Macaca fascicularis: one gene and its partners. The protein of the gene in region 1 interacts with the protein of each later gene in a pairwise test. Links are inferred from orthologs where the notes say so. Each region holds a gene or a part of one and is shown in the gene's direction. Other genes may lie near its edges.

Region 1 (4,362 bases):
CTGCTTTGCCTATGGAGTAGCCATTCTTTATTCCTTTACTTTCTTAATAAACGTACTTTCACTTTGAAAAAATAAAATAAAAATCAAGTAAGGTCTGGAAGCAGAAGCCCGTATTGCTCAGATAGCAGGACAATATTGAGAAAATCTCAAAGAAAAGCAGGAGACATCAAGCAAGGGATAAGAAAGCAACTTAAAAATGCTGGAGGTCTACTGCATGATAAGACAACGAGTATTGTGGGACTCCAAGACCCTGGGTCACTGTAGGATTCTTAGTCTCTCTATACTTCAGAAAGGAGCAAGCAATTTTTAGTTGCTCCTCAATACAACAACCCTATGTAATGGGCATTTTGTTACTATTTTAATGGATAAACAACCTTATGGTTCAAAAAGTAAAAGATGTAACGAAATCTACTTCTTTACGGCGGTACAGTTATCATCCCCATTTCACACGAGGAGAAACTGAGGTAAATGAATGGTAAACCAACTTGCTTGGGCACAAGTGAGAGGTAGCAGAGCTGGGCTTGTTATTGCCACACAGAAATGTTACCATCTGATAATTAAACCTTTCTTTTTCTAAACAAAACTGCAAGTGCCTACAAATGGGTCTGTTTAATAAAAGGCCTCACCTATCAGGTGGGCTCAGACGGTGACCCTCCTCATCCTCCAGCCTCTTGGGGAAGCCAGATGTCTGCGCTCCCCAGCACCTATATAAAGCCAGCTTTCTTTCTTCTTTTCTTTTTTTTTCAAGACGGAGTCTCGCTCTGTCGCCCAGGCTGGAGTGCAGTGGCGATCTCGGGTCACTGCAACCTCCGCCTCCAGGGTTCAAGCGATTCTGCTGCCTCAGCCTCCTAAGTAGCTGGGACTACAGGCGCCTGCCACCACGCCCGGCTAATTTTTCTATTTTTAGTAGAGATGCGGTTTTACCATGTTGGCCAGGATAGTCTCGATCTCCTGACCTCGTGATCCACCCGCCTCGGCCTCCCAAATGCTGGGATTACAGGCGTGAGCCACTGCGCGCGGCCAAAGCCATCTTTAGCAGGGGCTGAGACCTGGGCACCAAGAAGAAACCCAACTAAACACTAGGGGCCTGGGCCCGGCAGTCGCGGAAGATTGTAGGCCCGGAGCGTGTGGCACCATCTGCTTTTGTGACCAGTCCCCTAGGCTAGAGCTTCGGCGCGACCCGCCCAAGGGAGAGTGGCGGAGCCTCCCAGGCCTTTCTAGAGAAAGCAGCCCGGGCCCCGAGGCCACGAAATCTTGTCACACACTATAAGCGCGGGCCAAGCCCCGCCCCCCGAGCCGCCTCTTCCGCTCGCGCCGGGGTGGGGTCTACGCGGCCGCCGGGATCCGCTCGGACGCGGCCACGTTGTCTTGCGCGCTTTGCGCGCCTGGCCCTGGGATCCTGACCCTTGGCTACCCGTTCCTGCCCCAGTAACGTGGCCGCGAGTCTCTGTGAGCCGGCTGTATTCCCGCACTCGCTCAGGGGGCACAGGCGCAGGGATCGGCCCGGCCACTCTGAGCCTTCGGTGCGCGGGCGCGTCTGGGATACGGGCCCGGGAGGCACCGCCCTCCGTCCGCCCGGTGCCTCCCAGGAACAGCGAACGGGAGAGAGCGCCGGAGAGTTGGGCTCCGTGCAGAGCTCGGCGCCGGGGCCCATGCCCGTGAGCCCCCGCAGGCCCGCGCCATGGCCTCCGGGAGCGTGGCCGAGTGCCTGCAGCAGGAGACCACCTGCCCCGTGTGCCTGCAGTACTTCGCAGAGCCCATGATGCTCGACTGCGGCCATAACATCTGTTGCGCGTGCCTCGCCCGCTGCTGGGGCACGGCAGAGACTAACGTGTCGTGCCCGCAGTGCCGGGAGACCTTCCCGCAGAGGCACATGCGGCCCAACCGGCACCTGGCCAACGTGACCCAGCTGGTGAAGCAGCTGCGCACCGAGCGGCCGTCGGGGCCCGGCGGCGAGATGGGCGTGTGCGAGAAACACCGCGAGCCCCTGAAGCTCTACTGCGAGGAGGACCAGATGCCCATCTGCGTGGTGTGCGACCGCTCCCGCGAGCACCGCGGCCACAGCGTGCTGCCGCTCGAGGAGGCAGTGGAGGGCTTCAAGGTGAGGGCGCGGATCCGGGAGGGCGGGAACGCGAGTCGGACAAAGGGAGGAGAGAGCCAAAGGGGCTTCCCTTTTTCCGCCTAGAAAATGGCTGAGCCGGACGTGTGGTTCACAGCCGTCATTTCCTCTCTGTCCGCTCCAGAGCCTCAGCACTCAGATTTGGAGGAAAACCTGTAGCTGGCGAGGGAGCCAGAAGTCTCCCCACCCCCACTCTCCTTTCTCTGTGTGCCCCCATGTTTCCTGTCTCACGGACACATTGTACACGGAGACATGCTTTTGACAGTATAAAAGAAGTGCATAAAATCGCTTGCACATCGACGAGCTGTAGAGACACATGTACTCTCGTCGGCTGTCAGACAAAACGCAGTCGGACATTAACTGACCGATGCCCATTCCTTGGTCTATAAGCATTTCCCCAGCACTTTCCTGCAATACGTCCTGGTCTAGAAACTCACAGAAAAGAACAGGCTCTTCACTGCTTAAGTCATTTAACCACTCTGAGACTCAGGAGATAACAGTTATGAGGAAGATTATGGAATCATGTGATGCACAGAGCCCTCTGTGAACTGGCACAGCTAAACAGAAACGTGGAAACAAAATATTACATATAAAACAGTTGTAAGGTGACCTTCAAGGAGTCCATGATACTGTGTATTTTCTGTATGTTGAGGGCTTCAGGAATTCATACACAATTATGTCCGTGTTTAAATATGAATACATTCATGTGTAATTAATCACTTAACATTTATGGACCTTTCAGCTATATTCTTTCACTTACTCTGGTGAGAACTCTTGAGTAGGTTGGGAAGATGGTGTTTGCCCATTTCACACATGAGGGAAATAAGAAGTCACTTTCACAGTATGCTTGTGTGGAAGAGCTACAATACAACATAACTCTAAGCCTCCTACTCCAGTCACAGTTCCGCTAAGTCATGCGATATCCTACCAGGGACAGGTAGATGATTCATTGTTTAAGATAGACACAAATAATCCTGACGAGGTAGCTGAGTGGTTGAAGCGACAGGCTGCTAAGATAGACACAAATTGCCAAATGAGTGGCTTGTTGGCCCCTGCGCCCTGAGTCTTTCTCTTGTGGGTGGCAGTGTGGCCTGAGAACAAGTGCCAACTGGATACTTGGCATCAGGTGTGTGGACTCCATGTGTGATTAGAAGTACCATGCTGATGCTAAGGTCTACCTAGTTTTGAACTGCCCATCTGTTTTGCTTTTCTCAGGAGCAAATCCAGAACCAGCTTGACCATTTAAAAAGAGTGAAAGATTTAAAGAAGAGACGTCGGGCCCAAGGGGAACAGGCACGAGCTGAACTCTTGGTAAGGGTTGTTGGAATTCACAGTCGCTTCTGCTGGTGCTCCCCTCTTCTGTAGAGCTGATGTTACTTCCCTTAGACTTGTCCAGCATGTCACCCAGAACCTGTAGGTAGAGGGGGATCAACTGCACATGGCAGTGGGAACTCACCCAGAGAACTAAGAGATTCCCTTTCTTTTGGGGAAAGCGTGGAGGAGCCAAGTTTGGAACCCTTGGAAATCAGACCTGTCAGTATAGTTTAACCTGCTAACTGCGTAGACCAAGGTTGATCCTTGGCAAAGCTGAGATGGGTAAAATTATTGGATACAGTTAGCTTGCGTTGTTACCATTCTTCAGACAAGTGCTAATAGTGGATTTGTGTAAGTCCCACTGTTGCTTCTCTTTGTGTTATTCTCCTTTCTTGACAATGCCTTAATTCTGAATTTTTTGCTCTGCTCTCTTCCTCCAATCTCTCAAGGCCTCGACAAGTGGCTGATGTATTAATTTATGATAGGGGTATATGGGAATTTTTTCTTTTTATTTCCGACAGGGTCTCACTCTGTCACCCAGGCTGGAGTGCAATGGCAAGGTTTCGACTCACTGCAACCTCTGCCTCACATTTCAAGTGATTCTCCCACCTCAGCCTCCCAGGTAGCTGAGGCTACAGGCATGTACCAACACACCCAGCTGATTTTTGTATTTTTAGTAGAGATGGGGTTTCACCATATTGACCAGGCAGGTCTCGAATTCCTGACCTCAAGTGATCCACCTGCCTTGGCCTTCCAAAGTGCTGGGATTACAGGTGTGAGCCACTGCACCTAACTGGGAATTTTGTTTTGAAAAGAAAAAAAAAAACAAGGCAGGGCATGGGGGGGGGGTGGCGGCTCACACCTGTAATCCCAGCACTCTGGGAGGCTGAGGTGGGCGGATCACCTGAGGTCAGGAGTTGAAGACCAGC
Region 2 (3,823 bases), on another chromosome or scaffold:
GCATAGTTTTTGCATGTATTTTCTAGGTATAGAAATGTACAGAGCTTCTAAAACATGTTTGCTACTCAGAAAGTTTAAGAACCTTCAAATTAAGTGAAACTCAAGATTTGATAGCTAATAAGTGACAAAGTCAGGACTCTAATTCTGCAATGTCATGCTTCTGGCTTTAAGTCTTATGCACTTTTTAAAAACTGCATCAATGGCAGTTTTATGGGCAATAAAGTAAGAAGTTGACAGTGTTGTTGCTTACTGTTTTTAATGATTATCTCTCAAAGTCAAGGTAACAATATTGTGTAATACTGTTGTCTTCTAACCCTGTAGGATGGTATTGAGCCTATGTGGGAAGATGAGAAAAACAAACGGGGAGGACGATGGCTAATTACATTGAACAAACAGCAGAGACGAAGTGACCTTGATCGCTTTTGGCTAGAGACAGTAAGGTTTTAAAAGTATAAAGCAGTTTTAGAGGTAGTTTGGGAATACTGAAACTTAAGATATGTTATGTTTTACATTTGTTACTTAATTTAAGAGAAGGATGCCCAACACTAGAAAATCAGGGTCAGTAATTGTTTTCATTCTGTCATGTGACTCCTGTTTATAGTACAGTGAAACATCCTACCACATTATAAGTCAGATATTTTAAGTGATTGGCAGTGTGACTCTCATCACAATAAGCTCACTGTGGTCATTTCATTAACTTCGAAATTATAGAACCTTACATTTTATATGATTGAAGTTTTTGCAACCCTCTTACAGCATTGCTATATGTATACTAAACTTTTAAATATTTATGTTTTTAGAGTAAGGGTCTTGCTCTGTTGCCCAGGCTGGAGTGCGGATATTTATTTATATGACTCACTTCAGCCTCACCCTCTGGGTTCAAGTGATGCTCCCACTTCAGCCTCTTAAGTAGCTGGAACTACAGGTGCATGCCACAATGGCTAGCTAATTTTCTAAATTTTTTCCTAGAGGTGGGATCTTGCCGTGTTGCCTAGGTTGGTCTCAAACTCCTGGCCTCAAGTGATCCTCCCATTCAGCCTCCCAGAGTGCTGGAATTACAGGTGTGAGTCACTGTGCCTGTCCCACTAAACTTTTTAGATCAGTGAAGCAAACAATAAAATTGTTGTGTACTACCATTCAACCTACATGTTGTGATATTAACTGGAACTTTTGGCTTTACAAGACAAATTAAATATGAGATAATAGGCATTTTCTGTCAACAGAGGTTCCAAACCCCAAGCTTATAGGAGCGGGGTTTGTAGTCTCTTTTGTGTCCCTAGCACTTGAAACCGTGCCTGGTTTATAGTTAGCACTTGTTGAGTTAATCACTTTAAATATTTGAATAAGTGACTATTGTTTTTTTAGAGACAGGGTCTTGCTCTGTTGCCCAGGCTAGAGCGTAGTGGGGCCATCATAGCTCACTGTAGCCTCCTGGGTTCAAGCAATCATCCTGCCTTAGCCTCTCAAGTAGCTGTGACTACAGGTGCATGCCAGCACACACAGCTAATGAATGAATGACTTTTTAAGAAGAAAATTCTGTTTTTGAGGGTGAAGATCATCAGCAAATATCATTTTGGAATTTCACATTAAAAAGTCAGTATATTTCCATTTTTCAGTTAAAAAAAATGTTCTGGAGATGGATGGTAGTAGTGATGGTTGTACAACAATGTTGAATGTATTAACGCCACTGAACTGTACACTTAAAAGTGGTTAAAATGGTAAATTTTATGTTATTTGTGTTTTACCACAATTAAGAAACCCGTTAGGGCTGGGCTCACACCTGAAATCTCAACACTTCAGGAGGCCAAGGCAGGCATTTCACTTAAACTCAGGAGTTCAAGACCAACTTGGGCAACGTGGCAAAACCCTGTCTCTACAAAAAATACAAAAATTTACTGGGTATGGTGACATGTCCCTGTGTGTATGCCCAGCTACTCAAGAGGCTGAGGTGGGAGGATCATTTGAGCCCAGGAGGTTGAGGCTGCAGTGAGCTGTGATGGTCCCATTGCACTCCAGCCAGGGTAACAGAGCAAGACGCTGTCTCAAAAAACAACAACAAAAAACCAAACCATTAACAAATATTCAGAAAAAATAAGAACAAGAAGAAATTAACCATGAATAGCTATTTTTGTTATTCTATTAATATTTGTTTGCTCGTAAATATAAGCAGCAGCAGAGCAAATGAATATTAATAAAATCAGCTTTTATGTCTGCCACGATATTAACTGCCAAATTTGCTGAAAAAGGTGAAGACAACTGTTAATGATTTGATAGTAAATAAATGAATGGGTATTTAAGAGTCAGGATAGATCTATATATGCAAATAAAATTTACACATTTAAAAAATTAATTAGATTTAAAAATTGTCTTTAGTTATCTACGCGAATATAGAAGAGAAATTTGCAGTGTAATAAGCTTGTTTATAATCTATTAAACGTAATTTGGGATTTTCTTTTAAGCTGCTGTGCCTTATTGGAGAATCTTTTGATGACTACAGTGATGATGTATGTGGCGCTGTTGTTAATGTTAGAGCTAAAGGTGATAAGATAGCAATATGGACTACTGAATGTGAAAACAGAGAAGCTGTTACACATATAGGGTAAGTTTTGCTCTTTGCATACTTATTTTACAATATTAGGATGGCTAAAACCAGAAGTTACTTTATTTGTAGCTTTAGAAATACTTTGTTTGTAGATCCTGTTTTCCTTGTATTGTTTTCGGAACACTTTTATAATTTTGAACGGCTCAATTGGTGCACAACGTCTTGTTCATATATATCTATATCTATATAGATATCGATATAGATGTTTTGGAGGGTTTTTTCACAGCTATTTATATATTTAGAGACACAGTCTCACTCTGTTGTCCAGGGTGTAGTACAGTGGCATGATCTAGGCTCACTGCAACCGCTGACTCCCGGGTTCAAGTGATTCTTATGTCTCAGCCTCCCAAGTAGCTGAGAATACAGGCGTGTGCCACCATGCTCAGGTAATTTTTGTATTTTTAGTAGAGACCAGGTTTTGCCATGTTGGCCAGGCTGGTCTTTTAACTCTTGGCCTCAAGTGATCCATCCACCTCGGCCTCCCAAAGTGCTGGCATTACAGGCATGGGCCATTGCGCCTGACCTTGTTCATGTTTTTTATTTCTGTAAAATTGCTTTTTCTTAGCAGTGAAGTATATAACCACTAGAACACTCTGCTTTGGCATGTAGCATTTTTTATTCATTCACAAATGAGAATGTATTATTTCCTACTTTGAAAGTGCTGTTTGAAAAAAAGTACTACTTTGAAAAGAGCTAATGTATGCTCATAATAAATAATTCAGTGATTATTGGCAAATAGTGTATGTGTATTTAAAGCATGTGTGTTTACTACATATAATTTTCATTAAAATTTAACATACTTTGGCTTTTGTTCGATGTTTAAAACCCACATGTAGGGTTTTATTAAACCTTTTTTTGTAAATTTTATTCTTTGCAAAAATGGCTTTTTTTTTTTTTTTTTTTTTTGAAGCAGGGTCTCACTGTGTTATTTAGGCAAGAGTGCAGTGGTGCAGTCACGGCTCACTGCAGCCTCAACCTCCTGGGCTCAGGTGATCCTCCCACCTCAGCCACCCAATTAGCTGGAACTCAGGTGTGTACAACCACACCTGGCTATTCTCTTGTATTTTTTGTAGAGAAGAGGTTTTGCCATGTTGCCGAGACTGGTTGTGAACTCCTGGACTTGATCAAACCACCTCAGCCTTTCAAAGTGCTGAGATTACAGGCATGAGCCACCATGCTAAACCAGCTGGCATTTCTAACTAGGATTTCTTTTTACCTCAA
Region 3 (3,571 bases), on another chromosome or scaffold:
GCATCATGTCTTCTTTGTTCTTGCATTACTCCTTCCTTTGCTGAAACTTACTAAGAAAGGTGCACAGCAGGTATACTGTCTTGGAATGAATGACACTATCTGTGTAACAGGCCCCCATTTGATGCTTCGGCTAGGTACAGAATTCTAGGAGGAAAATGATTATCTGTTAGAACTTTTAAGGTATTTCCCACTAGCTCGTAGCATCCAGTGTATTGTTGAGAAATCTAATGCCATTTTGATTCCTGTTTCATTACAAGAAACCTTTTTTTTTTTTAAAGGCTACAGGATTCTCTATTTATTTTGAAATTCTGAAACTTTACAATAATTGTGCTGGATACTTGGTAAGCCATTTCAGTCTCAAAATGTGTGACCTTTAATTCTAGGAATGTTAATTGTATTATTTCCTTAATAATTTTCTCCTCTCCAGGTGCTGTGGCTCACGATTATAATCCCAGCACTTTGGGAGGCTGAGGCAGGTGGATCACCTGAGGTCAGGTGTTCGAGACCAGCCTGACCAATATGGTGAAACCCCGTCTCTGCTAAAAATACAAAAATTAGCCGGGTGTGGTGGCGCACGCCTGTAGTCCCAGCTACTTGGGAGGCTGAGATAGGAGAATCGCTTGAATCCAGGAGGCTGAGGTTGCAGTGAGCCAAGATTGTGCCACTGCACTCCAGCCTGGGCAACAGAGCGAGACTCCATCTCAATAATAATAATAATAATAATAATAATAATAATAATAATTTCTCCTTGTGCTTTCTCTGCTCCTTCTGGAACTCTTACTGGTCACATGTTGGACTTCCAGGATTAACTTTCTAATTTTCTAATCTTTTCTTTTTACTTTCCATCTTCATCTTTTTTCCCATTCTGAGAAATTTTCTTGACATTAGTTTACAACATTTCTATTTATTTATTTATTTATTTTTTGAGACAGGGTCTTGCTCTGTTGCCCTGGCTGGAGTGCAGTGGCACGATCTTGGCTCACTGCAACCTCTGCCTTCTGGGTTCAAGCAATTCTTCTGCCTCAGCCTCCTGAGTAGCTGGAACTACAGGCGTGTGCCACCACGCCTGGCTAATTTTGTGTATTTTTAGTAGAGACGGAATTTAACTGTGTTAGCCAGGATGGTCTTGATCTCCTGACCTCGTGATCTGCCCACGTCGGCCTCCCACAGTGCTGGGATTATAGGCATGAGTCACCGCGCCCGTCCTCTATTTAAATAATTTTTATTTTTAGCTATCAAAGTTTTGATTTATAATAGTTCTTTCTGGTTCTCTGGTTGTCTTTTTTCATAGTATACTCCTCTTGTTTTATGGACATAATCTCTTCTAATACTCATTTTGTTGATATGGTCTCATGTTAAAAAAAGTTTTCTTCTGCCTCCTGCCTTGTTGCTGCTTCCTAGGTTTTTGTTTGTGGACTTTCTGGGCTCTTTTTCTTGTTAGAGCTTTTAGTAAATATCTGATGATTCCTGGCTGTCCTTTCATATTTAAGCTTAAGTGGGGCTTGTTGACTAAGGATCTTCATATTAAAGTTACCAAATAGTGAGTCTTTTAATTAGTGTCTCCCAAGGTGAGTATCTGAAGCCTTTTCTCTGGACTGCTCCATGTATCCAGAGAACCCCTCTTTTTCCTATGAGGATGTCAATCTGCTTGGTACTCTGGGGGCTGAGCGGGGGAAGGAGGCTGACAGTTCCATAATTTGGTATGTACACTTGTACTTAATCCCCATTTTCAGCCCCAAGATTAACCCGGTTCCACCGTCTGGATTTCCTGAGTCAGAAGTCTGTCTGGTTCAATTTCTCCAGAGCATAAATCCTTGCTCTTCTGTGAGTGTGCCTGGGTGTTGGACACTTGGATGCGTAAGGTGGGAGGAGCCGTGGGGTCCTGCTTGTTTTCAGTCCTGTACCTCCTTACTTTCCACTATCTGGTACTTCCAAGCACTGAACCTCTCCGGATTCTGTTGGGAAAGTGGCTTGCCTCTCAGCAGTACCTCCTTTGCAGGCCCTTGGTTTGCCTCAACGCTGGCAAGTCAGTTACCACTGTTGCTCCTTTCCTGTTCTTTGACCTTGCTGATTAGTACCCTTTTCATTTTCTTACTGTTATTCTAAAAGAGACTCAGGAAGGAGATAGGTGCCAAGTTGAATGATCAGTCTCCCTTTTACATTACAGGCTGAACCTCCTCGGAAGAACAACTGGAGACAGAAGCACGAATCTTTTATCCATACGCTCCGCCAGGCTCGAGAGGTCCAGCAGGTAACTGCCAAAGGTGAAAACCGTTCACACTTGCCTCCCATCCTGCCTGCAGAAAACCCAGACTACATTCAGTGTCCTCACTGTAGCCACCACTTTGCTCCCAAGGTGGCTGAGCAACACATTCCCAAGTGTAAGACCATCAAGAACCGTCCTCCACCTCCAAGGAAGCATTATAGTTGAGCAGACAACAATGGAAACTTTTGGATAGGTCAGAAAGCTCTGCTTCTCTTCAGCAGTAAATGGGAGTAGAATTTGATGCAAAGCAGAGAGAAATCAAACAGCTCCCAGATCTGCCTGCAGAGTTAAAGTCTGTGAGGAGAGAGCCACTGCTAAGCAGCAGGAGGCAGAAGGAAGCCCCAGCTTCCCACTAAATTACAACCTTGGGCTGGTAAGCTTTATGTTATTGCCCTCAGAATTGATGGGTGAAGACACTGAAGAGTCGTGAGCAGGCTCCATTAAAGCTCTCTTCTTGCATGCCTGACTTGTGGTTTGTGCTAGTGAAGTGCCTGCATCTGGTTGTGCCTTCCTGTCACTGCATGTATGTTCAGAGTTCTGTTAACTCTTGCTTTTGTAGAAGCTGGAGTTATTAGGATGTGTTGGAGTCAGAGGGGCATGATCACCCAGATGGTAACTCTTATGAAAGATAATATAATTTTGCTGTAAGGCATTATTAATGGAAATCTATCCTTGGTCTCCCTGGTGCATGATCCTGGCCAAAAACCAATACAAGTATGTAAGGTTAAGGCACCAATGTCTCCTAAACCTTCCCTATGGTGTACTGTGTAATAAAGGAAAGATCTTTATGTACTTTATAGGGTAGGGATGGGTGTTGGGGGGAAACACATTATACTTCTGCTTGTTCTTTTCTAATGGGTTTCATATGTTAAGAAAGAAACCTCCATTTTAGCTGTTAATAGCACTCTACTTTCAAATCAGTTTGGCTAAATGACTGTTTAGAGGCAGCAAAATCTACCATCAAAGTAAGCTGAGATAGGCTGGGCATGGTGGCTCATTCCTATAATCCCAGCACTTTGGGAGGCTGAAGTGGGAGGATTGCTTGAGGCCAGGAGTTCAACAGCAGCCTCGACAACAAAGCAAGAGCCCGTCTCAAAACAAAACAAAGCTGGGACATTGCACAGTGTCACATGCCCTTGGCAATTATAGCATAGTCAACTTCTATTTGAGAGAGTAAACTCTGAAGGGAAAGGGATCAAATCTTTTTAGTTTTCTCTGTGTAGAATATTGCCTAGCACAAGTTAAGACCTCAATTAATGAGGTCTGGAGATTAAAAATTAAACAAGGTGAATGAGTCCTAGACTA
Region 4 (4,549 bases), on another chromosome or scaffold:
CTGGGTTTCCCATCCCCTTGCCCTGGGTTGGATGTGGTTGTATCCAGTGCTATCAGAGGAGCCCTTCCTTCACTCAAGTGTGTTCCCCTGCCCAGCTCTCTCTACAGACTCCTGCTGGCCTGAGCTTTCCCTGCTCTTAGGAGTCAGGAGTGGCTCTTGCTGGGATGGACTGACCCGTCTTTGGGGCTGTCCCGTGAGCGGCCCTTGTGAACTCGGATCAGTTCGATGTGTAAACTCTGCTGTCTGGCCTTCAGCAGACACATACAGATTTCTGCCACCTTCCATGGCCCTACAGTTCACGGGAGAGTGACTTGACTCTCCGTCTGGGGCAGTGCCAGAGGGACGCATGGAGATGTGATTCTAGGTGAGTCCTGCGGAAAACCTTTGGCCCACCCGCGAGTCACGGACAGAACATGCAGACCCAGGCCTCGGTGACCTAAGCCCCGCATTGCTAAAACCACGTGACCTCGAGGGCTGACTGGCCTGAGACCCCTGGATGGCGCTCTCGGTCACCCCCACTTCCCACCCCAACCTCCTGGGTTTTGGTCAGAATCCACAACCGGTGCCCAAAGAGCGCTTCCCACCTCTGGCACCCTACCTTCGCTGAGCTCCAGGGAAAAGAGGAGAGGGCAGCTTTCTGCAGTCAGAGGAAGGGTACATTTTCTTTGGCCTCTCTACCCTCTAAAGCAGGACGGCCCGCTGAAGGAGGACGCACTTCTGAGGGGCCCAGAGCTTTTCCAAGTTTTCCCCTGCCCCCTGAAGACTGTGCACTGAGCTGGGCGCAGTTGTCGGAAACTGTTTGCACCCAGATTGCTGGGGGTCGGGGGTCGGGTGCGGGCAGAGCCGAGAGGCTGTCCAAGTCTGAGAGAGAGAAAAGTTTCTCCCAGGACTCGACCTTGGCCTCCAGCAATCGCGACAGCTAAAAAGGGACCTCTCGCTTCGACAACAGATCTCGCGGACCTTCTGGCACCTGGTTCACCAGGACCCTCGAACTCTGCCTCGGGAGACTTCTTGAAATCCGGATGCTCAAGCCGGGAGGCGCGCAGTAGCCAGAAGGATGAGAGGCCCGGGTTTGGACTAGGAAAGCGGCCTTTTGAAACAGATGTCAGGGGCTACTGGGAATGCAGCCCAGAGCCATGAGAAAAAAGTTAAAGGCGAGATGACACACACTGAATTGGGGCAAACATTGGAAGAGGGGACAAAACTGCGTGCTTGAGCACCGGGGTGCGGGGGAGGGGGGACAAAACTCGTATCCAATGGAAATTAAAGTCTTGGGAGGAGGTGGGGGCTCCTGCGCGCCCTTCACCCTCAGTTCCCCTATTAAGGATTCCGCGTCCCCTGCACGCCTGTCTTCTAGCTCCTTCCTTCCTCTCCGCTCGGCCGGTGAGCGGCGGCCGCCAGCGCCCCAGCAGCAGCTAGATGTCAGGCGAAGCCCGGAGCGCGGAGCGCGGGGAAGGGAGGGGAAGGGAGGGGAGGGGAAAGGAGAGGTGGGGCGGGGAGCGCGCGCGGGCTCGGCCAGTGCGGGGTGGTGGGCGGGCTGAGCCCGAGGACGGCGCGGGAGGGGGGAGGGAAGGGGGGCAGCTGTGGGCAGGGAGCCGGGCTCGGCCGCCAGCACTAAAGATGGAGAGGCGCCGGGGCCTTGCAGGGGAGGGGGCTCGGCGTTGACGTGGGACGCGGCGGAGGCGCAGCAGCCGGTGGTGATTTGCTAACCTCGCAGCAGAGAGGAGTTGAGGGCGATGAGAGCGGGTACTGCGAACTGCCGGGCGATGCTGTCGCTGCCGCCTTGATACGGAGAGCAACAGTTCCCCAGCAACACCCCTCCCCGACACAGGCACACACCCCCCGACAGGCACGCACACCCACCCCACAGTGCCCGGCTCGGCTGCGGTGAGTGAGGGGCCGGGAAGAGGCGCACCGCCGAGCGAGCGCCGCGCGCCGGGGCTCCCCGGGGCTGGAGAGGTCTGGGGGGCGCGCGCTCGCTTCGGCCACTCGGCCGCTGGGCTTGTGCCTTTTTTATTTGGCGTGTTCCCTTCCTGCCGCTGCAGCCGTCGCCGCAACCGGTTGGGGGTCGGCTAGAAGGGGGAGCCCCGGCTGTCAGCCTGGGCACAGCTGCCTCCCCAGCCCTTCCTCTCCAGGGCACGGTCGGGGTGAGAGGTGGGGGGCGTAGCGGTCTGCGGGGGCTGAGGGCGTGAGCAGAGGGTCGGGGATCCGGAGGCTTTGTACCGCCAGGGGCCAGCGGAGGAACAGAGCCCGTGGGTGCTCTTATGTATGCGGACCGGTGCGCGGGCGCGAGATAGGGTTGTGGTTTATTTATTTGTGTGTCTATTCGCCGGCCGGCTGGGAAGCTAGAATCGGAGGAGCTGACGAGTAGATCTGGGGGCGGAGGGGAACAGGACTGGGACTGCTTACGTTTTGTTTCTGTTTGAAAAAACGTGGTGGGCTTTTTATTGATTGGACTTGATCCCCCCCTTTTGCAGGGGAGGGAGGGAAGCTCCAGAGGGTCTCCAGCGCTCCGGGCCCTCCTCGGCTCTCGACGGGACCGGCGGTGACACCGGAGCTCGCCGTGCGCTCCCGGCCGCTCTCGGTGGGTGCGGGTCTCTGCACCTGATGCGTTCGGGATGCCTTTCCCACCCTGGCGCGCCCGCCGCTAGCTCGCACAGCGCCTCGCACACGCCCGCACGCGCTTGAAATGCGCAGGGTCCCGCCGGCCCACGGACCCACTGGGACGCACGGAGCGCTCCGCACCGACTCGCTCGCCGCCTCCGCGAGACGCTCGCACGGTGCTTCGGACGGGCGCGCCGGCCGCTGGCGCCGCTGGCCAGAGGCCGGGGACCCAGCCGGTCGCTTCCCGGGGGTCACGGCCCTGGGTCGGAGAGGGAGGGCGGGCAGACCCCTTCTCGCCTTTCCTCCTACAACTCGTTTGCGGGGCTTTTGTGCTTCCCCTTCGCCGCGGGGCGGGTCCGCCTCCCTGCTGCTCTCCCCGCGGAGTCCAGCCCGCCCGGACTGTCGCCTTTTTTCCCAGTCTCTTTCGCTTTCCCTCGTCCCTAGCCCAGCTCTTCATCTTTCAGGCGTCTAGCTCCTCGGGAAAAGTTGCTTCCCCAAGTTTGCTGAAGTCGTCTCCAAGTCTCGGTGGGGGGTCGCTGGGAACTGGAGGCGTGTGAGAGCACGGTCGATCCCCGGAGCTCAGGCGGGTTCTCGCCGGTTCTTCCCCGCGCCGCCCGGCTGGACGCTGCAGCCAGCGCCGGCCGAATCGCGGGCGCCGAGCGGCGGGTGGGGAAGACGGCTGCCCGTGGGCGCCCCGATTTCCCTCAGGACCCAAAGGGCTTGTTTTGGGGCGCCAAGCTTCCATTCTTTTGGCTGTTCCCTCCTAGTTCTCAGAAGCCCCGATGTCTGCGGGAAAGCACGCGGTGGCCAGGCTCTGCTGAATGTTCATCCCACCCTTGACGGCCTCCGTCCCCACCCCGGGGTAGGCAACAAAAGTGTCTTGACCAGCCGTCCTGTGAATCCTTTCTGCGTGAGCTTGGTGGCTCCTGAACTGATAGAGCTTCTTTTGGGGGTGGAGGCAAGCAAGCAGTGTTCGAAGAGTGAGGGAGAGACCTTGCTGTTCCTTGCTCTCAGTGCATTCACTGCAATATTGGTCGCTGCAAGGCAGACACGGGGAGGGCCCTGGGCCTGCGCGGTCTTTCTAACACTCGTTAAGCGGGGTTTGGAGTCTAGGAGCCCTCTTATTGATCCCGAACAGGCTCTGGGAGAGGCCTTTGTTTCCCAGCCCTGTCTTCCCTTCGTACTGGTTGTAACTCACACCACAGATGCTGGTGCCAATATCACTTCCAGCGCCTCTGAGCCATGTCCGGCATCCCTTGCTGCCCCTGGTCACAGGACTTGCAGACTCCTTGGAGCCTGTGGGACACACGTGGAGTTCACACACCCAGCCCAGCATAAGCGCTCCTGGCTGTAGGGGAGCATATTTACTGTGGTCTCTCTCCATACCTTAATGATCCATCCTTCTTCGTTTTTTAGATCCTCCTGTCCACCGGCCAGTTGTGGGCAGGACGGTAGGTACGGCCCCTTATATAAGTGTGTGTGTGTGTGTATGTAAAGACACACACACACGCTTTTTTTTTTTTCTGAGACGGAGTTTTGCTGTTGTTGCCCAGGCTGGAGCGCAATGGCACAATCTCGGCTCACCGCAACCTCCGCCTCCCGGGTTCAAGTGATTCTCCTGCCTCAGCCTCGCTAGTAGCTGGGATTACAGGCGGGTGCCACCGCGCCTGGCTAATTTTGTATGTTTTGTAGAGACGGGGCTTCTCCACGTTGGTCAGGCTGGTCTCGAACTCCCGACCCCAGGTGATCCGCCTGCCTGGGCCTCCCAAAGTGCTGGGATTAGAGGCGTGAGACACTACACCCTGCCCCACACACTCTTTCTGTCTCTGGCTGGTGTACATACACACAGTGCAGATTTTAGATTATACATACAATAACTTTGAGGCTTCCATGGGTAGAAATGACCTAAGTTTGTGTGTGGGTTGTATGTATGTGCCTGTTAGTA
Region 5 (3,823 bases), on another chromosome or scaffold:
AGCCAGCTTTCAATTAGGGCAAGAAAGTGAGGGAACTGTACAGGAAATTAAGTAATTAAGGAAAATAAATATATCTTATATTTTCCTTAGGAAATTAGGATATGGAGAATTTGTTGTGATTTCTATATGGCATGATTGAAAGGATTGAGAAGGGATGTGATTTGCTAAATTGGTTCAGAATAGTAGAATACATTATAGATATGAGATGATGGTCCAGATGATGATAAATTACTTGGAGAATGTGGGTAAACACAGAACTCAGTAGTAGGGGGGCCCCTGGGCAGTTTATCTTTCCTGCAGCTCCATATCGTATGGTAGCCATGGGTTTGTGTGAAAGGTGAGAGATCAGAGTACTATTCTCTTGCATAGTGTTCCCAGGAAGCTCTGTAAGGTTTCTTCAGTCTGATGCCAATGATATAGTTAGAACTTTCCTCTGGGTCAACCTTGAAAGCTTCTATTTGTCCTAATGGGGGCATTAGAGAAGGCCCAGGACTGACTTAATCCTACCTTGAAATATAATCAAATCACAAATTTGTATTTATAACTTCATTTACCCATCAGTTTTCCTATTGTCTTCTTGTCACCTCTCCTGTCACTAACCACTAATAATGTAAGAAAACTTAGCCACATATTCTCTGGAATTAGCTGGAGATTTTAGACTCCAGGAATGGAATTTGGACACATCTTGGTTTTATAGTTCTGTGTTCTCACCTCTTCTTGTGGGCCTACAAATGATATTTTTAAGATAAACTTAAAATTGACTCATTTTAATCCTGGATAATAGGTACAAATCTGGAGTGAGTGAAGATACAAGTTAACAAATCTTTAGCTATACCAGAAATAGTTTGCCTATTATTTCAGCTTGGTATAGGAGAGTCAAAGTACACAGGATGTACATATAGTTATAAATTAACGATGCCATTTAAGAAGACTCAGGATTAAAAGAGAGACAGAATTAACTAAATCCTGCAAACCTATTCCTATCTGGTCATCCATAATTTCTCTTTCTGTTAACTAACCACCTCTTTGTTTTGTTTTTTAGGCATTATTATAGAAGAATGGAAGAAGATACAGATTATAGAATCAGGTTTAGTTCTTTGTGTTTCTTTAATGATCATATTGGATTTCATGGCACTATAAAAAGCTCACCAAGTGACTTTATTGTTATTGAAATTGATGAACAGGGACAATTAGTTAATAAGACCATCAATGAGCCTATTTTCAAGATTAGTGAAATACAACCTGAGCCAAATAATTTTCCCAAAAAAACAAAACTAGATCTTCAAAATCTGTCCTTTGAAGATGGAAGAAACCAAGAAGTTAATACTTTGGTTAAGTACACTGATGGTGACCAAAATCATCCGTCTGGTTCAGAAAAGGAAGATACTATCAGTGATGGAACTTCCAAATGTGAAGAAAAAGCTGATGTTTTAAGCTCCTTTTTAGATGAAAAAACTCATGAGTTACTGAATAATTTTGCCTGTGATATAAAAGAGAAGTGGCTTTCTGAAACAGAGCTAATTGGACTACCTCTTGAATTCTCAATAGGCAGAATCCTTGACAAAAACCAGAGGGCTAGTTTACATAGTGCCATTAGGCAGAAATTTCCATTTTTAATAACTGTAGGAAAAAACAGTGAAATTGTTGTAAAACCAAATCTTGAGTATAAAGAACTTTGTCATTTGGTATCTGAAGAGGAAGCATTTAACTTTTTTAAGTATTTGGATGCGAAGAAAGAAAATTCCAAATTTACCTTTAAACCTGATGCAAACAAAGACCACAGAAAAGCTGTCCACCATTTTGTCAACAAAAAGTTTGGAAACCTTGTGGAAACCAAATCTTTTTCTGAAATGAATTGCAGTACTGGTAATCTGAATGTGGTGATAACAGTAAGATTTCGGGAAAAAGCACACAGGCGTGGGAAAAGGCCTCTTCCTGAATGCCAAGAAGGAAATGTTATTTATACAGGTAATTTAATAAATAATCATCCATTTTCTTGGATAAACTTAGTTAAATTTAAAATTGTGAAAATGAATTGAATAGACTTGGCTAGAGAGATTGGAAAGAATACATGCTTTACCTTTAGGGAGGGGAACTGCTGATAAGCAATTTAAGCAACTCTAGGAATTCTTATTTATTCTGTTACTGGAAGATGATAAAACCTTTCAAATTACACTGAATTTAAAAATTAGCCTTACTGATAACCTAGGCATTTATGTTAGCCTATTCACAAATGTCAAGTTGAATCAGTTGGTTTGTGTTTAATAAGTTTTATTGAAGGTAAATCTTGATTTCATATTTTGGAAGTCATCTCAATTAAAATTAAGTTTTTAGAGATAAGAATATATTTACTGTGCTTGGGAAAGTGAAGAGATACTTTGTAATCCAAAACAAATTATATTTCCCTACCTTGGGTAGGGAACCTGAAAACTTGGTCCTGCTGGTCATCTAGACAAGATGTTCTGAAACTTTAGCATGCATATAATCATCAAAAGGTCTTGTTAAAACAGATTTCACAGCCCCATTCTCAGTTTCTGATTCTGGGGCTTTCACAAATTTCCAGACTCTTTTTTTCCTGGTCTGCTACATTTTGAGAATCACTGTTTTAGGGTCTGTGTTTAATTCCCAGGGTGGCTGGAACTGATGAACTCTCACTATAAAAGTCCAGCTGACTAGGTTTAACTGGCCTCAATTCTACTTGAAGGATGGGAACTGTTTCAGATGATCATATTTAATAAATTAGAGTTTGAACCTTGGAACTATGTGGGTTTGATTTGATATTATGACTTTTAGTTCACAAAAAGACTTATGAAATTTTTAATGTCTTTAAGATTTGATTTCATAAATGTAAAAATGGGAAGAATAATACCACGGGCAAGTTACTTAATAATTCATAACTTTTGGTTGTACTTGAAAAATGGGGTAATAGGAAAGCCTGACACACAATGATATTCTAAGGATTAAATGAAATAATGAAATTGTTTACTATGTAATAGTTACTTAATATTAGGCATATAGTAAGTGTTAACAGATATATCCATTTTGAAGGAAAAACAACACTAGCTTTACATGTAGAAAGAGGAATTGCTGGTGAGTGATTTAAGCAGCTCTAGGAATTTTTATTTATCTTATACTACTTGAAATTCTAACAATATTAATTTGGGTTAATGAGTAAAAAAATTATAGAACTTTATATATTAGTTTAAATTCGTTTTTCTAAAGTTGTGAATCGTTGGAGGCATATGTTAAAAGGAGGAATGATGGTTCAAAAAACCTTTTATTTTTTATTTTAAATTATGTTAAAATATACATAACATAAAGTGTACCATCTTAATCATTTTTAAGTATCAGTGGCATTGAGGACATTCACATTGTTGTACATCTATCACCTCCATTCATCTCCAGAATTTTTTCACCATCCCAAACTAAAACTCCATATTTATTAAACAATCCCTCCTCCTCTCCAGCTCTGAAAAATGGGAACTACCATTTTTCATTCTGTCTGTACGGATTAGACAGTTCTAGGTATCTCATATAAGTGGAATCATACAGTATTTGTCTTTTTGTAATGGGCTTATTTCACTTAGTGTGTTTTTGACATTTATCCTTGTTGTAGCACGTGTTAGAATTTCCTTCCCTTTTAAGGCTGAATAATACCCCATGGTAGGTGTATGCCACATTTTGTTTACCCATTTGTCTGCCAGTGGATGGGATATAATGGTCAATAAAGCACACATGATATTTGCTTTGGAAGCATTCAGCCTTGGAACTTGGAAAGAATTTGAGGGAGAATGTGGATGTGAGATGACTTTTGAGGCTACGT
Region 6 (3,823 bases), about 9.9 Mb from region 1:
GTGCTACTCTAAGTGATAGCAGATCAACTCTCAAATCTCAGTGGATTAGCATAGTAAAGGTCTATTTCCTGCTCATGCTACATGTCTAAAATGGGGGTGGGTAAGGGCAGAGGGCAGGCTCCTCGACATAGTTACTGCTGCTTCACATAGTCACTCAGTTACCTAGGCTGAGGGAGTCTCTACCATCTTGCCAGTCATCATGATAGAAGAGAAGCTATAGGTCAGGCATGGTTGCTCACACCTGTAATCCCAACAATTTGGGAGGCCGAGGTGGGAGGATCACTTGAGCCCAGGAGTTCAAGACCAGCCTGGGCAACATAGTGAAACCTTGTGTCTACAGAAAATAATAATAAAATTAGCCAGGCATGGTGGTGCACACCTGTAGTCCCAGCTACTCAAGAGGCTGTGGTGGGAGGATCACTTGAGCCCAGGAGGTCAAGACTGCAGTGAGCCATGATCATACCACTGCACTCCAGCCTGGGTGACAGAAACTCTGTCTCAAAAAAAAAAAAAAAAAGAGGTTATACAGAACTGACACCTATTCTCTACTTTGCCTGGAAGTAATCGCCTTATTTCTCTTCTTAGTCCATTGGCCAGAACTGGTCATATGGCCTCACCTAAGTGCATGGGGGCCAGGAAGTATACAAGAGCACATGGGATGTTTGGTGACCATTGCTGTCTCTGCTACATCTGTCTCTGCGATCTCAGGCTGGTCTGGATGTATCTAGATGAAGAATGGATATGGGCAGTTTTTGTTTGAAGAAGCTAATGATTATGTATGGAGTAGTTTGTAATTTATTAACATTATAATAATAAGCAAATGCAGGTGGTCAGATGTGTCAGGCCATTCCTTGGTAATTGTGTCTCCTTTCTTGAAGTTTCATTAAAGAACGATCAAAAGTCAGCACAGTTCCTCTGAAGAATAAGAAGGCCTCCAGTTTTCATGAGTTTGCACGGAATACCAGTGATGCTTGGGACATTGGCGATGATGAGGAAGAGGACTTTTCCTCACCTTCTTTCCAAACTCTGAACTCAAAAGTTGCTTTGGCAACTGCAGCCCAAGTTCTAGAAAACCACAGCAAGCTGAGGGTAAAACCAGAACGGTCCCAGTCAACGACATCGGATGTTCCTGCCAACTACAAGGTCATAAAGTCCAGCAGTGATGCCCAGCTGTCCAGAAACTCTAGTAAGTCCTTCCTGCTCCCTTCATAGCCTCAGGCTTTTCAGCAGCGTGCATTTTAAATAAAAGCGATTTGTGGTGGCTGCCCAGTCTGGTGACCTGGGGCTTCACTTTCTAACACCCAGGTGTTGTTTGCCATTCTCCTCTTCTCTTCTTACTTTCCCTGTGGTGGAGTCCAAAACTTCTGGTTTGATTGCTTCACATTGCTTTAGTCCTGGTCAGGTTTAGAAATATTAACTAATTTAAAGCTGTTAGTGGCTGAATTTCACAATTGTTTGGCCACTGTGGTTTGACTTTCTCAGCCCTGGGGAACAGCTACTAGCATAAAATTGTCTCTTCCTGTTCCTGAGGGAGGGAGCAAATGTGCCTAAAGGCCCCAGGTCTCGGCTTCCTGACCATCAGGCAGGTCCCATCAGGTTGGGTGGGATGGAAGTAGAGGCCTCTCTGTTTCTTTTCGGGAAACTGGCCAGAGTAACGGTTGATGCGATGGTGGTTTTATTAGACCTTTGGGGACTCTCAGTGTATTCCTTTAAATATTCATGGTTGTGTTTAATGTTGCCCTAATGGGTTTTATGAAAGTGTGTTGGGAACTGGAGAGGGAAGCTTTGTCATTGCAGTGAGAGTTAAAGCGGTGAGCGGGTAAAGGATGAAAAGGAAGTAGAAGAACATCAGAGCCCTGGCTCATGTTCTGAGGGAACTTTTTTCATGGCTGTAAGGTCTTTGCAATCATTCCACAGTTGTTTTCCATCACTGATTTGGGCTCTAGCGTGAACCTTCAGTGCCATGCACAGATAGGCATTCAGTGTTACTGACCAGGTGGCCACAGCTGCAGGCTGTGGAAGGTGTGTACACACGGTGATGGAGGGTCTCCAGAGATTCCCAGTGTGAGGAAGGCCCCTACTGTGATCCATAATGAGCTGCCCTGTGCAGCCAGGACCTCCCCAGCCCAGCCCAGAGCATTCTCCCTGAGGAGGTTTTCTCCTGCGGGCATCTGTCTGTAAATAGGTAATAGCGGAGATTTACAGCTGTCTCAGCTCTGCAGTGTGTCTGCATTTTCTAGTCCTCTCGTTACACTAGGCGTCCCAGCCAACTGCCTCGTGGAAGTTGTTTTTGTAAGCCTTCTAGTAGTACTGGTTGGTTGATATTCAATGTTTAATTTTTGTTATGACTACTACTTTTTAAGGCCCAGCCGTGTAAAGAGTATGAGGCAGTCATGTAAGCACAACTAGAATTAAAAACTGAGTTTTGCTTGTGATAATACAAGAGTTTCAGAGTCAGGCTTACCTAAGGTGGTTTTTCACCTCTCACTTGCAAATAATTTAATCTCCCTGAGCTGCAGTTTCTTGTCTGTAAAATAGTTATACATTCCTACCATGTGTTCTAAGGATCAAATGAGAGGTCATATGTAAAAGTGACCTATATGCCTTATACATAGGAAACACTCAATATATGTGAGTCCTGTAGTGCTTATTCACCCTACCCACCATCCAGTCTAGAAATGTCGAGAACAAGACAGAGTTCAGTTTGAGTCTTTGTTTGTTATTTCAGTCATATCCTGGCAGAATTAAGAACTGGTTCATTTTGGTGGGAAATGTAGGTGCACAAAGGAACCGCAGCCACCAAAGGCAGGATTGCCTTAGGCCAGAGCTTCTCACCAGGGCACACTGATGGGCCAAGAACCAGGTACAGGATGTGTGGAGATATTGATCCTCTTAGTCCATGGAGCAGCCGGGGGTTCCGGGGCTTGTGGAGAGCAACCACCTCCATTTATTGCAGCCTTGTGCTTTGTGGTGTCATCTGCCTTGTCATCATTCCTTATGTGCTCTGGGATGTGGAATGGGAAGGAAAACTCTGCCTTAGACTAAACTAAACTCACTGTTTGGCATCAAGAAAAGTTCCAAGTTGGGGCAGAAAGAAAACATTTGATTTTCCTTTAGAGTCACCAAAAAAGTTCTCAAAAGTTGCTGCAGCTTCTGGAGTCTCTGTTAGCACCTAAGGTGCCTTGGTGTGTTTGATATAAATGCAGCCCTTTCTCTGGGCAGTGAATGGAGCGTGGCTGGGTTCTGGTCCCTCGCTGCCCCTCAGCTGGGCACCTCAGGCAGTGCACACAGGCAGCCACGGCCTTGGGGAGGAGACACGATGCTGAACGATTAGGTTTAAGGCTTCTCAGAATCCATGCTCCTCACACAGCCCATTCTGTTTCTTTTTCAAATGATCTCAGGTGATACATGCCTGAGGAACCCACTCCACAAACAGCAGTCACTCCCTCTCCGGCCCATCATCCCCCTCGTTGCCCGGATCTCGGATCAGAACGCCTCTGGGGCCCCCCCAATGACTGTCCGGGAGAAAACCCGCCTAGAAAAATTCCGTCAGCTTCTCTCCAGCCACAACACTGACTTAGGTGAGTCCCTGTGAGCCCAGGCAAGGTAGGAGCTTTTGGTGACTGGAATTCTCAGAGACCTGGAAGCTACTGCTCTTTATTCTTCCTTCTTTTACTTTTCTAGCTTCTCCTGACCTGGTGCCCATTGCAGTGACATGCAGGTATTAAGTCAGACATATGTTACTAGAGATTATGGACCAAATTAGGTGGGACTGGTTTCTGTGACCTGTAGACCCTAGTGCAACTATTCTGACTTTGATCTC
Region 7 (4,310 bases), on another chromosome or scaffold:
GAAGCTCGCTTGAGCCTAGGAGGTCGAGGCTGCAGGTGAGTCGTGATCGCGCCACTGCACTCCAGCCTGGGAAACAGAGCAAGACCCTGTCTCAAAAATAAATAAAAATTTAGGCCAGGCGCGGTGGCTCACACTTGTAATCCCAGCACTTTGGGAGGCCGAGACGGTTGGATCTCAAGAGTTCGAGACCACCCTGGCCAACATGGTGAAACCCCATCTCTACTAAACTACAAAAATTAGCCTTGGGTAAGTGGCAGGGGCCTGCAATCCCAGCTACCCGGGTGGCCGAGACAGGAGAATCGCTTGAGCCCAGGAGGTGGAGGTTGCAGTAAGCTGAGATCGCCCTATTGCAATTCAGCCTGGGCTACAAGAATGAAACTCCGTCGCAAACAAAAACAAAAACAAAAACAAACTAAATTTAAAGTGCAATTTCTTCTCGTTTTTCCAGTTTTACGAAAAACCCCAAAGGAGGGCAGCTAAGGTGGATACTGATGCCTACCACGCACCCTAAGAGTAGGTAAAGGGAAAAAAATGAAATCCACGTGGGACTGCGAGTAGTTCGCCGTTTCCCGACGACGCACACAATGCGCTTAGGTATACTTCGCGCAGAGGTCTCTGCAGAGAGGAAAGCCACCGTGAGAAGAGCGGGGAGCCCCCAGGCAAGAGGGCAGTGGCTTGTGTGTAGTGAACTGAAATGCGACACCACGGAACTGCAACAGGAGTCTCCTTTCCACTTGAAATGTGACTCAAAGCGAGGCACCTACCCTTGGCGCTCCCTGGACAGTGCGGCACGGTCGGGCCCACTAACCAAGGCAATTTGCGCCCGACCGAATCAGGTGCTCCAAAATCCCCCCTGGTGAGCCGCGCGTTAGCCACACAGAAAACAGTCAACGCAGAAGGAGCGAGAACGCTCGGCCGAGAAGCCTGGCCCAGAGAGGGGAGGGGTGCGGAAAGCCGCGGACGGCAGCCGCTGGCCTGCAGGACTCCCTCAGGCCGCCCCACCCCGCCCCGCCAGGGACAGCGCAGAGCCGAGCGGCTGGACCCCAATCCTGCCGGCCGCCGCCGAGCTCCGCAGCCCGCAGCCCCACACCCACTGCCTCCGCCACACCCCAACCGTTCAACTTGGCCCGTACACGCCCGGCGTCCCCGTCTCCCAGGCCGGTGCCGATGACGTCACACCTACGCTAGGCGTGACGCCACGGCTGGGAGGAGCGAGGACGGCGCCAGAGGGCGTTTCCGGAGCACGCGTCGGGCGGGGGCCGGTGACGTCGGGCTCAGGTGCGCGCGCCCGCCCGCGCGGCCCAGTTGGCGGCCCGCACTCCAGGTGGCGGCCGTTGTCGGTGAGGGGACGGCTGGCGTTGAGCGGTCCCGACGGCGTTGGGGTCTGCAGCCAGGGGCGCGGCGGGAGGGCGTCTGGGCCTGCGCTCACGTGACGGGCGGGGAGGTTGGTGTAGGGGCGGCGAACCGGGTGGGTCCGGGCTCAGGAGCTCGAGGCTGACTGTCCGGCCCCACCCCTTGCGGGCCAACCCGTCGCCGCGCGGAAGGAACCTTCCCTCGGGCAGGGGCCGGCCCCGCCGCGCACTTCCCGCGCCCGCTCGCCGCTGACCGGAGTTGTCTCTTCCTCCGCAGGGCCGCGGCCAGAGGGCGAGAGTCCGCGCCTTCCGAGGGAGCCGCGCCCTGCGGGCCCCACCGTACCCAAGGGGATGGAGGGCTGCCCCCGAGGCCCCCGCGCGGCTCGCGGTCCCACGCCTGCCGGCCCGCGCTAGCTGCTCGACTCGTGCGCGTTATCCGCCACCCAGGCCTTGTCTCCCGAGTCAGTGGCGTCGTGGTTCGAAAGAAATGGAAGAAAAGGAGCGATGTGACCGATGCTGTTCGGTCCTCCTGCTTTGAGGCCTGGCATTTGCAGAGGGAAACAGCAAGAAAATCGTGGGGAGTTTTGAGGGGGGTGGGAGGGAAGGGTGGGGAAACGGAAACAAGGTCTTACATTTTATGGGTTTTTTTTTTTTAAATTCTGCAATTTGACAGTGGTAGCAAAATGAAAGTAATCCAAAAGTTATTTTTCTCTTGAGAAAAGAGGTGGGTTTTTTTTTCCTTTTGATTCCAGTCTTTTCTCCCAGTGACAAAGCATAAATCATGGACACCAGAGAATAAGGTGAACCTCAGGAACCCGGAAAAGACTGAGAAGGTTACATTCTTCTTCTGGAGGGAAGAGTAGGGTGTTTATAGCCATCTCTGGAACCTAAAACAAAAAACATGAGTTGTGTGCCATGGAAAGGAGACAAGGCCAAATCTGAATCATTGGAGCTGCCCCAGGCAGCACCCCCACAAATCTACCATGAGAAACAGCGCAGGGAGCTTTGTGCCCTCCACGCCCTCAATAACGTCTTCCAGGACAGCAATGCCTTCACCCGGGATACGCTGCAAGAGATTTTCCAGAGGTAGGGGACCCTTCTCCTTGGCATCTTGATACTTACTGATATTTTTGGATTTCTGTGGGTGGGATAATGTCTCAAGTTTCATAAACCTTTAAATCTATAGGTATTAGCTAGATGCCATTAGCAGGTATAAGGGACACAAGACAGGAAAAGATAATCACTACTATGTATCGGGCACTCACTGTGGGCTAGGAAAGTGCTCATATTCTCGGCTGTGTTTTCTCGAGTGATCTGCTCAGCAATCCCATGGAATACGTGTTAATACGTGGTGTTATTTCCATTTTACTGATGAAGACACATTTAGTTCCATACTTTGCTCAAGGTAACAAGACTTGGAGCTGGGGTTGAATTCTTACATCTATGCTGTTGACCACTATGCTAAATGCCTCTAAAGTTCTGCTGCCGAGGAGTTTACAGTCTAGAAGTGGGACCCGATAGGTACACGTTCAGTCGCCTGTCATCAAAGGTGCAATGTGGTGACTACCACAAGCAAGAGGTATACACAATGCTCAGCTTTTCTGTGAGCCATGTGCTGGCAGTGGCGCTGTTCGTACATTGCTTTGTGTAGCCCTCCTAACAGTCATTTCACTGCCTGTATTTTACTGATAGAAAGGTCAGGTAATATGTCCAAATAGCTTCTAAATAGCAAAGTTATAATTTGAAGTTGACTCCAGATCGCCTCTTTCTCCTTTATTCTAGATGGCCTTTCTTACCCATTTAGAACAAATGCCACCCCACGGGTTAGTAGAGGTTCAGCTTTTGGCCAAGCACGGTATAATCCCAGCACTTTAGGAGGCCGAGGAGGGCGGATCACCTGAGTTCAGGAGTTTGAGACCAGCCTGGCCAACATGGTGAAACCTCGTCTCTACTAAAAATACAAAAATTAAGTCGGGTGTGGTGGTGCACGCTTGTCCCAGCTAGTCGGGAGGCTGAGGCAGGAGAATCGCGTGAACTCGGGAAGTGGAGGTTGCAGTTAGCCGAGATTGTGCCACTGTACTCCAGCCTGGGTGACAGGTCTCAGAAAAAAAAAAAAAAAAAAAAAAACTCAGCTTTTTTCTCTTTGCTTTGATTTTCTAGAATTACTTTAAAGGTTTTGAGAGTCAGTTCTGTGGTGTCTTGATGGACACAACAGCATATCTGCAGTCCATAGCAACTCAGATGGTGATCTTGCCTGATGACCCCAACTAGAAAGGGTTAGGCCCACACAGTCCTCACTGAAGAGAAGCTCAAGCGTTCTTCAAGCAGTACATATTGACAATTCCAGAAGACCTTTTTCTTACTCTCTTAGCTTGGAAATGAAATTATTGCCACATAGGGACCAGAATTACAGCTGGTAGCAACCTATTTGGGGTGATTTGTAAAACACAGGTATGGACCATTTGCCCTGAAAGAGCCAGAGGCTTACTCTTAGAAGAATGTTAATCCCCAGATGCAGACAAAACTATAATGAGAGTAATTATTTTCCAATGCCAGTAGTAACCAGAGTAATGCCTTACCAGGGTAAATATGTTATTTGCATCATGGCCATTATCTGGCAGCAAGTAGAATTGACTCTTCAGGACCTGGGGCACTGGGAGGTAAGATAATTTGTCTCAGATCATCAGGTCATGTCACTGAAAGGAGAACCCAGTACATTGGACTGCTTCCTTTTGGCCAGCCGTTAGTATTTCTCCTACTCCTAATCAGATTTGCAAATTATTTCCTGATCTAAAACTAGGGAGAAGAAAGGACTCAGGGTGAAATACCTGAATGTGCTTAGTACTTTGTGATATGTACAGACAATCTTGCAACAACCTCACCAATAATGAACTTAGGAAACTAGGATTCATTTTAGGCGATTTGCCCAGTTTCACCCACTAGTAAATAAATTCCAGA

The links.
Region 2: the proteins of TRIM27 (region 1) and EIF4E interact in binary tests that used the Homo sapiens proteins (3 or more experiments, as listed by UniProt). The link is inferred for Macaca fascicularis from reciprocal best matches to the Homo sapiens genes TRIM27 and EIF4E.
Region 3: the proteins of TRIM27 (region 1) and ZC2HC1C interact in binary tests that used the Homo sapiens proteins (3 or more experiments, as listed by UniProt). The two-hybrid records come from large-scale screens. The link is inferred for Macaca fascicularis from reciprocal best matches to the Homo sapiens genes TRIM27 and ZC2HC1C.
Region 4: the proteins of TRIM27 (region 1) and ZBTB16 interact in binary tests that used the Homo sapiens proteins (3 or more experiments, as listed by UniProt). The two-hybrid records come from large-scale screens. The link is inferred for Macaca fascicularis from reciprocal best matches to the Homo sapiens genes TRIM27 and ZBTB16.
Region 5: the proteins of TRIM27 (region 1) and PUS7L interact in binary tests that used the Homo sapiens proteins (3 or more experiments, as listed by UniProt). The two-hybrid records come from large-scale screens. The link is inferred for Macaca fascicularis from reciprocal best matches to the Homo sapiens genes TRIM27 and PUS7L.
Region 6: the proteins of TRIM27 (region 1) and TBC1D22B interact in binary tests that used the Homo sapiens proteins (3 or more experiments, as listed by UniProt). The link is inferred for Macaca fascicularis from reciprocal best matches to the Homo sapiens genes TRIM27 and TBC1D22B.
Region 7: the proteins of TRIM27 (region 1) and JOSD1 interact in binary tests that used the Homo sapiens proteins (3 or more experiments, as listed by UniProt). The two-hybrid records come from large-scale screens. The link is inferred for Macaca fascicularis from reciprocal best matches to the Homo sapiens genes TRIM27 and JOSD1.

Annotation. Positions count from the first base shown.
Region 1 is NC_088378.1:144,252,684-144,257,045, forward strand, and holds the start of TRIM27 (zinc finger protein RFP), read left to right. Parts: upstream 1-1,330; 5' UTR 1,331-1,681; coding exon 1,682-2,101; intron 2,102-3,334; coding exon 3,335-3,430; intron 3,431-4,362. UniProt on the Homo sapiens protein: E3 ubiquitin-protein ligase that mediates ubiquitination of various substrates and thereby plays a role in diffent processes including proliferation, innate immunity, apoptosis, immune response or autophagy.
Region 2 is NC_088379.1:104,469,039-104,472,861, reverse strand, and holds part of EIF4E (eukaryotic translation initiation factor 4E), read left to right. Parts: intron 1-321; coding exon 322-435; intron 436-2,459; coding exon 2,460-2,599; intron 2,600-3,823. UniProt on the Homo sapiens protein: Acts in the cytoplasm to initiate and regulate protein synthesis and is required in the nucleus for export of a subset of mRNAs from the nucleus to the cytoplasm which promotes processes such as RNA capping, processing and splicing.
Region 3 is NC_088381.1:143,025,361-143,028,931, forward strand, and holds the end of ZC2HC1C (zinc finger C2HC domain-containing protein 1C), read left to right. Parts: intron 1-2,167; coding exon 2,168-2,431; 3' UTR 2,432-3,058; downstream 3,059-3,571.
Region 4 is NC_088388.1:112,987,822-112,992,370, forward strand, and holds the start of ZBTB16 (zinc finger and BTB domain-containing protein 16), read left to right. Parts: upstream 1-1,718; 5' UTR 1,719-2,584; exon of another isoform or gene 2,585-3,371; 5' UTR 3,372-3,466; exon of another isoform or gene 3,467-4,549. UniProt on the Homo sapiens protein: Acts as a transcriptional repressor. Transcriptional repression may be mediated through recruitment of histone deacetylases to target promoters. May play a role in myeloid maturation and in the development and/or maintenance of other differentiated tissues.
Region 5 is NC_088385.1:50,365,148-50,368,970, reverse strand, and holds part of PUS7L (pseudouridylate synthase PUS7L), read left to right. Parts: intron 1-1,042; 5' UTR 1,043-1,058; coding exon 1,059-1,968; intron 1,969-3,823. UniProt on the Homo sapiens protein: Pseudouridine synthase that catalyzes pseudouridylation of mRNAs.
Region 6 is NC_088378.1:134,375,442-134,379,264, reverse strand, and holds part of TBC1D22B (TBC1 domain family member 22B), read left to right. Parts: intron 1-878; coding exon 879-1,186; intron 1,187-3,401; coding exon 3,402-3,581; intron 3,582-3,823. UniProt on the Homo sapiens protein: May act as a GTPase-activating protein for Rab family protein(s).
Region 7 is NC_088384.1:12,949,173-12,953,482, forward strand, and holds the start of JOSD1 (josephin-1), read left to right. Parts: upstream 1-1,250; 5' UTR 1,251-1,278; intron 1,279-1,303; exon of another isoform or gene 1,304-1,444; intron 1,445-1,629; 5' UTR 1,630-2,253; coding exon 2,254-2,438; intron 2,439-4,310.